Coturnix japonica: one gene and its partner. The protein of the gene in region 2 binds, or shares a complex with, the protein of the main gene of each other region. Links are inferred from orthologs where the notes say so. Each region holds a gene or a part of one and is shown on either strand. Other genes may lie near its edges.

The links. Proteins that work in one complex are often made in the same cells at the same time.
Region 1: KAT6A (region 2) and BRPF3 share a complex: the UniProt entries of both Homo sapiens proteins name them as parts of the MOZ/MORF complex. The link is inferred for Coturnix japonica from reciprocal best matches to the Homo sapiens genes KAT6A and BRPF3.

The regions. Positions count from the first base shown.
Region 1 is NC_029541.1:568,701-573,427, reverse strand, and holds the start of BRPF3 (bromodomain and PHD finger-containing protein 3), read right to left. Parts: upstream 3,240-4,727; 5' UTR 3,122-3,239; coding exon 3,080-3,121; intron 2,145-3,079; coding exon 739-2,144; intron 1-738. UniProt on the Homo sapiens protein: Scaffold subunit of various histone acetyltransferase (HAT) complexes, such as the MOZ/MORF and HBO1 complexes, which have a histone H3 acetyltransferase activity.
Region 2 is NC_029537.1:4,049,676-4,053,697, reverse strand, and holds part of KAT6A (histone acetyltransferase KAT6A), read left to right. Parts: intron 1-1,079; coding exon 1,080-1,188; intron 1,189-1,636; coding exon 1,637-1,752; intron 1,753-1,995; coding exon 1,996-2,077; intron 2,078-2,619; coding exon 2,620-2,755; intron 2,756-3,371; coding exon 3,372-3,685; intron 3,686-4,022. UniProt on the Homo sapiens protein: Histone acetyltransferase that acetylates lysine residues in histone H3 and histone H4 (in vitro). Component of the MOZ/MORF complex which has a histone H3 acetyltransferase activity. May act as a transcriptional coactivator for RUNX1 and RUNX2.

The DNA.
Region 1 (4,727 bases), on a different chromosome or scaffold from region 2:
AAGCATTCACTTCAAAACTATTTTCAGCACCAGAAGAACCTGACTGGGGTCACTGTGATGTTCTTAAGCTGAAGCCCCAGACAGGAGCCCAACAATAATACAGTACCTATTTTAATCTTTTCAAACCATTCATTAGATTACATGTGGTCTTATCAGCAGTTTTCCAAAGTTTGCCTATTGAAATACTGGCAACACATCACCACACTTCCTCAGCCACCAAATAGAAACTCAGCACTCCCTAATTCTGTTTGAAGGAGAGCTTGGAGAAAAAAAATGTACAGCCAGATTCTAAGCTGCTTGAAACATTTACATGTTTAACATGTTCTGCAGTAAAAGGAACAATAAAGATGCTATGTAATGAGGGGATTGAAAAAAATATATCAACAGGAGGATGACTCCCATTCACCTGCCAACCTGTAATGCCTGATGTATTTTAAAAACACCTTCACAGCCATCTATGTAAATTTGGATGCTAGCTGCATGTTTGCCTGTTAGGTACCACGAAAGATCTGTACTACATAACATTTTGGGGTTGTTGCTTGGCAAAGCAGGGAAACCAGTGCACAACTGGCATGCACATGGAAGAATGTTGGTGAGGAATGTTCCTGCAGAGCACAATCTGAACACAGTTACTGCTAGGTCTGGGCTAAAGAGGGTGCTTCCAAGTTCAACAACGAAAGGGATCGAGTCCATAGAACAGACCCTGTTCATCTTCTGCTGTCCAGCTCCAACACTCACCTGTAAGATGGAATTTGTGCAACTGCCACCATGGGCATAGATGAACGCCCATCAGTCCCCTCACTAGGTTCCTTTTTGATCTTCTGCTTCAATTTCACTTTGTTCTTCTTTAGGGATGCTTGGGGAGGACCAGAATTGCCTTCTTCCTCCCTCTCCTCCTTCACAATGCCCTCCTGCCTCTCACTGGTAGCAGCTGAATGCCCTTTTTTCACTGTTCCAGGTGGGGAATGGCTCTCGCAATAGGCAGTCTTGCGCACAGTGAATGTTGTGCCATTGATGCTGGTCTCCCTCATGGGTTCAATCTTCATGAAGAGACCAGCCCGCTGGGCACAGGTGACATGGAAGGCAGTATAACAGTTCACTTTGTGGCATTGGATAGCAGCTCCCATGCCCTTCTGCTTGCAGATATAGCATGTGAGCTTCCACCGAGCTGGGGGAATGTTATTTATCCCTTCAATGGGCTCCAGGAACACAGTGTTTGCAAAGCAGACCTCTGGAATCCAAATGGCACAAACCACATGAGCCCAGCGGCCATCACTGGTCTGCTTGAAGGCTCCACCTTTGTTTGGGCAGAGTACACAATCAACAGGGCGAGAAGGGGACTGTAAGCAGCAGCGGCAAAGCCACTGCCCCTCAGGAATATAGGGCACCCCGTAACACTCCTGGTGCACAGCCAGGTTGCACATATCACAGAACAAGATGACGTTGCTGTTGTGACACTCATCATCCATGCAAACACAGCAGAATGCATCCTCATCAATGACAGACTGCTGAGTCCCGTTGTTTCGGCTCTCAAGGTACGACTCCTTTTCCAAGCGGTCCACCAGCAGCTCAAAAGTCTCAGCAGAAATAATCCCATAACCATCATCCCTTCTCTTCTCATTCACCATTTCCAGCCATGCCAGATCCTCCTCATCCATGTCATACTCCACCTCTGCATCAAGGTCCTCGGGAGGCTTCTCAATGTACCGGTAGTAGGCAGCAGGGAGAGGGGGGGCCTCTGGCTGTTTCAGGGAGTCCACCACACGGAACTTCGGCTGGGGTAAGTGTAAAGATGTTCCTGATGTGTGTTTGGAGCAGGATTCCTTCTTCTTGCCTTTGGAAGGTGCTTTCTTGGATTTTGAAGGGAAAAGGGGCTGCTCGCTGTTTTCCTTATTGCTGTTGCATTCTGTGATGTCCTGGGCAGTCAGTTCATCCTCTGTGATGATTTTTAAGGGATCGTAGATGCCAATGCGGTGAAGCCGCCCATCTATGTCTACTTCCACAATGCGCTGGGCCTGAGCGTACGTCAGCATGTCCCGAGTGGGTGAGCACTTCAGGCTGTAGGGTGATGGAGAATGCCGGCCCTCCAGATTCTGCCGTGACCTCCTCCGAGGCTTCCTCATCGCTGTGGTGCACCAGAGACGCTGCAACAAACCGGGACCAGCATGAGCAAAGGAGACAAGCTAACAGGAGCAGCACAGATTGAAAAACCCACACAGCATCACAATAGAAAAACATTTCAACTAAGGGCCTCAGCAATTTCAGGCTCAGAGGTTACTTCACCTTAAATACAAGCAAGTACTGGATGTATCAATCATTTCTGTAGTACATATCTGAGCAAGGCACAGCACGCTCCAAATCTCTCTGCTTGCAAACCAGGAAATGTTTCCCATACCAACAGATGAGAAGAGTTGAAATGGGTTTTAGAGAATGGCATCTAAATGCTCTGCTGTGCACTCAGACCAACAAACCATCCAGATCCTCAGAAACGCAGACATTACTAATAAACCCGCTTGAACCGTTCAGTACTTAGTTCACACAGGCCAAGGAGTTCTCTCTGTTCTTTTGCCTGCAAGTTCCCAGCAGTATACATAATGTGCTGAATATTAGGTCTGGTTTTCCAGGCCTAAAGGAAAGCACTCTTCCTGCCCCACAAAAGCAGTTCCCCCTGCCCACCATTTTGTGTGTTTTTTTTTTTTTAGCTGAGCTCTATGTGAGAATGTATACCAGCACTGCTCTGAGGTTCAGAAGGAAGTTCACCCACATCTCCCATCCCACTGCAACACTTCTTCCTTCACCCACATAGTGAAAGAGTTTCATGGTGAAAAACTATCTACCAGTTTTGCCTTCCTTTCTCCTGCAAGCTGGTTTCTCACACCATCCTGCAGACAGAACATGCACTGAGCTAACCCATGTCCTCCACATCATGCAAAATGGATTACAAAAGTCTATGAAGAACCAGAGGATGAACTGAACAATGGGTGCTAGCTGCGCAACCCTTCTTCTCTTGGGTAGGATCTACAAAGAAGTAAAATGGAACAAGTATGGGAACGAGCAATATGGATCCAGAAGGACTTACAAGTTCTGTCTCAGCATCAGCTCTTCTGAAGCCACGATCCATGTACAGGCCCCTGAGCTGGTTCCGCTTGCAAGATCCACAGGGGTACAAGTAGGAAAGCAGCAGGACACTGTCTAGACCAAGCTGTACTGTGAACTATGCAATGGTGCTCAAACAGAGCCTTAACTAAAAGCCCAAGACAGCTCTGCCCTCACAAACTGCTAATCAGCAACAAAGATAATCATTTGAGAGTCAGCTCCAGCCATTAAGGAGGTGCCCAACAAGGAGGGGTGGAGATGAGCTGGCAAGAGGAGCTGGAGAAGAATGGAAAGGCAGCAGCAGGATCCCAAAGATCTGAGGGCAAAAGAGGGAAAGTAGAGAGGAAGCCAAGTGAGTAATGCGAGGGAGAAGGGCAGTCAGGGATAAGAGTGCAGAGCCCAGGCAGAGGAACAAAACAGGCCAAAGAAAGAGGGAGACGAGAAAAAGAAAAGCAAATGTAAAATCTCCCCAAGAAGATAAGTCAGCCTGGAGCTTATCTGTTGCTATGCAGGGGCCTGAACCAGCAACTCACCCTAAGTTAGAGTACAGCACTTTCAGCCCCTTTCTGTAGGACCTGCAGACAAACAAAGCATTTGAATTTAGCTGTCACGTTATTTTTTTGCTCCATGACGGACTTAACTTCACAAAACCTCAAGTGAATCAAAGCAAGCAGCACCTCGTGGATCAGTGCCTGCAAGAATTCATGAAGTTATTCCAGAACGGAGTAACGGATTTCTGGAAAAACACTCTTCTCCTGAAAGCACTGCCCTGTTAACCAGGAGTCTGCCTGATCAGCTTGGTCAACCAATGGAAAACCAAGGAAACCCTGCTGACATATGGCTCAGGTACAACCTAAGGCAGACTGGTTTAATTGAAGAAGACACTGGATGCAAGACGTTATATGAACATAATTATTGTGGAGGATAAAGCAATCAGAATGACCTGACCACAGCCATTATTAATATTGTGTTCAAGAAAAACAAGACTTTAGCTGATGGCTGGCAGTGCTGAATGATGAGAAAATTTCAGCCAAGCAAGCACTCCAAGGAAGGGTTATTTTACCTGCTGACATGACAAACAAGAACAGGATGTTATTGTAGTAGCTTTTGAGAAACAGTCGGTTTACTGTCTGGAGAAATTACCCCAAGTGGGCTTTTTACCACAGCAACTGGCTGCTATAAACCAACCCATTTGTAAAACACACAATTACTTAACACTACATAGAAGCATCTAAAACGGCACTGAAATTGCTGCCAGCCAACACTCAGCGCCTGGGATAAGAATTCCAGCTCATTTCTAAAAGGCATCTGGATAATAGGAGAGATACAATCACCCACCTCCGAAAAGCTTTGAAAGCAGAAATGAAACAAACTCAGCCATGCCAAGATGGAACACTGTGACCTTGCCTGCAACACAGCAACTTCTAAGTAATCTAGGAATGTTACCATCTTCTCAGTACACTTGACAACACTTCACCAGCCACATATAAAACATTATCCCTGTGTGAACAGCATCTGTGCATGCTGAAATGCTAAACTGCCTTGACTTCAGCAGGGTTAAATATTCCTTCGGCCTATGCTGCTTTTGTCCTACCATGGACAAATGTTGTTGATATAAAAGCAGAAAGTTC
Region 2 (4,022 bases):
GAAGCCATTCTGGATGTAGCTGTTTCTGTAATCCATAACATGATACAGCTGTGCAATGTATGTACCTGGAACCATGCCATAATCTGTTTTTCATGGTTCCGTGGTTTTAAATGCGATTCTAACAAATGCTTTTATTTTGTATGCGCACACAAGTCTAAATTTCTACTTGTATCTTTGCTATTAAAACTGTAACTCACAGATTTTTCTTGGAAAATGCAGAATTGGATTAGAAAGAAATTCCTAATCCAGCAGTTAATGTTACTGTAGGCAAGGCTGTACTTTCCCTCTCATTAGTTGATCAAGTATTTTTAATTTAAACCAATCAGTTTACTGTGCTTGTTACTTCCTTGAGGAAGCTGTTACAGAATGCCAGTCCTATGGCACAAGAATTTTACAAGTATTGCTGACTGGTTAATATCGAGCTATGATTTTGCAAGTGTTGTTCTTTATCTTAAATATCTTTTTCTCTTAGGGAGTGTTTAAATGACCTGAACTTTTCCAGAGGGGTCAAACCTTTTCATGTGCTGCTTTTGAGTGCTAAATAAGACACTTGTGTAATCTCCTGCGCAAAAATGTCCTTTTATTTTCACTTTTCATACACATGTTAATGGTACTGTAGTAGTTATTGTTCCATGAGCTACATTTTATTTTAGTTAATATATCACAAACACTTCTGAGACAGTGGCTGTGGATACATGAAGGGAATTTCTAAGATTGCTGTGTTCTGGGATCATACGTGTGTTGTCTCATAGCTCCTTCATTTGGTGACAAATTGAGACATCAACATGCTGTAATTTTCTTTCTCTTACATATTAATTTGCTGCTCTTGCTTTCCAAGTTTCCTCTAGTCCTGGAATTCTGTTCTCTTTTCCCTTTGAGGCTGGAATTATTTCTCTTTAGCATTCTAATTTTTCTTTGGGTTACAGTGTTGATGCAGTACTTACTGTGTGGTGAGAACCAGCACAGTGTGCAGTACATAATATTTACATGTGATGTAAATGCCTACATGATTTGGTGTATTATATAAGTTTGCTGCTTTGATATACTGAGTTATTTTGTTGTTTGTTTTTCTCGTGTAGCCGGTTGCTGAACCAATTCCAATCTGCAGTTTCTGCCTTGGTACAAAAGAGCAAAATCGGGAGAAGAAACCTGAAGAGCTTATCTCTTGCGCTGACTGTGGCAATAGCGGTAGGTGACCACTTACAATGCTGCTGGTAATAACCCAGTCACCTGTGGTAGAAAAGTTTAGTGTAGTGACTGACACTGATCCATGCGTACTGGGAGTATGCATCTGTGACATGATATGGTTAGTTGAACTGACACTTAAGTTAACCTAACAAGCAGTTACTTTACTCCCTGGAAGTTTCTGGAAAAAATCTAGTAGTGATGACTAGCATAACTTAATTAAGTTATGAAAAAATATCTTGGTGTGCTTTTGAACATGGCCCTGCCATTTACTTTCTAGGTGCTATGTATAAGTGGATAAGAGTCAGTGCATCTATAAACAGGAGCATCTGAATAATCATATTTCTTCATGGAAATATGTGATTAACAAAGTGAATGCTCTGTGTGCTATCTGTGATCATTAGAAGCAGTAGAGTGGTTTTACTGGTGTTATGTTCTCTATTTCCTGCAGGTCATCCTTCTTGTTTGAAGTTCTCACCAGAGCTGACAGTTCGAGTCAAAGCCTTGCGATGGCAATGTATTGAGTGCAAAACCTGCAGTTCCTGTCGAGATCAGGGCAAAAATGCTGTGAGTACAGTAGAGTATGGTCTGATTTAGTATGACATCAGCCTTGCGAATGTTCTGTTAAAATATAAAATAAAACAATTCTGGAGTTAAGTATTTGCAGCTTCTGTTTTGTAGGCTTTCTGACACCTGTCAAATACAGTGTCAGTAGTGTGAGAAATACATGTGTATTCTCCCAGATGGTGACAAATTAATGGAGGGATTGATGCACATCAAAAAGAGATTAAGTTTATCTGTCTTCAACAGGATAACATGCTATTTTGCGACTCCTGTGATAGAGGGTTCCACATGGAGTGCTGTGATCCACCACTTTCCCGAATGCCAAAAGGTGAGGAGTTTGTGATGAAAGGCTTAATTTAATGTGGTGTAAGAAGAGATCAGTGGCTAGAAAGTGCTTCAACACGCTTTGTTCTCTTTTATTTACTTCTAACTTGCTCTTTACGTTATTGCTTTTCAGGTGTTAAAAACTAAAGTTTTCTTTGGGAAGGGTCAGAGATTTTCCTCTGTCTGTTTCTGCTTCCTATAAATTATTTTCTGTGAAGAATTTTGAAAAACAAAGACTTCAAAAACTGAGGGAATAAAATTGATCCATGCAGATTAAAGTGGTCAGCTTTGATTTGAATGAATAGCTTTGTACATCAGAAAGAGGTTGGCTTGTACATTTTTGAAACAGTATTTGAGGGAGTGGGAATTAACCAAATATGAATTTAGATTGCTGGTTTATGCTTAACTTTTCGTACATGTGTATCTGTGGAGAGGACTTTGATCCTATTCTTACCCTTTCTTTTGGAAAGCCTGGGGCCTTTAGTTGTATCTTTATTCAATGTTGATGTTCCTTGCATTCAGTAGTGGTGACTGTGTGTTTTATAGGTATGTGGATATGTCAAATATGTCGGCCACGTAAGAAAGGAAGAAAACTTTTACACAAGAAGGCAGCACAGATAAAACGACGCTATGCTAATCCAATAGGACGTCCCAAAAACAGGTTAAAGAATCAAAATGCAACGTAAGTTTCTCTATAAAGAGGAATGAGGTGTGTGATTCTGTAGGACAATGAGCATTTCTGAAGTGTCAAGTCTGCTTTCTGTGAGATTTTTTTTTTTTTACAATGAAAAGTTTTTCATTTTTCTTTAATACAAAATTTCTGAAGGGTTCTGTGAAAGAATGAAGTAATCTCACAGTTTATTTGTGCCCTGATTTTTTTCATTATTATTCTTTGTAATAGCTCTACATTATGTTACAAACTGTTCCTTCTAGTCATTCATTTATTTTGCTGTTTTTGTCAGATCTGTTATTCTGAATGTCTGCTTCTTCTGATAGAATCGCTTTGCTTTGCATTGTTTCTGATGCTTAGAGAGACATAAATTGAAAAATGTTAATTGAAACTTTGTGTATTCATTCTGTCTACCATCTCCTGTAATCTCATTTATTAAATTCAGTGAATATCTGTTATTTATACTTAGACAAACTTTTCAATGTGCAGCACCAAGGTGTTTAGAATTAGCTCACGTTTAACTTCTGTGTGATACATAAATAAGTAGGGAAGACACTAATCCACTCTGCAAGCCACACCAAACCACTTTACCAGCTCTTACCATATGTTTCCCTTTCTGTTTCTTTAGATCAAAAGCACCCTTCAGCAAAGTTCGAACTGGCCCTGGTCGGGGTAGGAAGCGTAAGATAACTCTGTCCAGCCAGTCAGCATCATCAGAAGGAGGATACCTGGAGCAGACAGAAGTGTTGGACTACTGCAGAGATGGCAGTGCTACCTTGAAGTTTAACAAGAAAACCAAAGGGCTTATAGATGGCCTTACTAAATTCTTCACTCCCTCCCCTGACGGACGAAAAGCTCGAGGGGAAGTGGTAGACTATTCTCAGCAGTATAGGATAAGGAAAAAGGGTACCAGAAAATCTAGCACTTCAGAGTGGCCCACAGGTAAAGATTTTTCACTCTGCCACTGCAGGTATTTTGTACTCCAGAAAAAATGTTCACAAAGGCTAGGATGCTGAAATGATGAGAGTTGTTGGAGGCTGGAAAGTTACTCAAATGCAGCTATCTTTGGTGCACTGTGAGAGCTGGAAAAGGGAAGAAGAGACCTTTGCCACTTTATGATGGCAAGATGTGATTTAGGGACTGAATGATTACTATCAGGTAAAATGCCCTTTTGGTGATAAGGAGCTGGCTTATAACCTAAATTAATTTGCTAAATAATGTCATGGTTGAAAGGAATAACATAGGGTGTAGCTAATGCAATGAAGAAGAAAGAATGTTG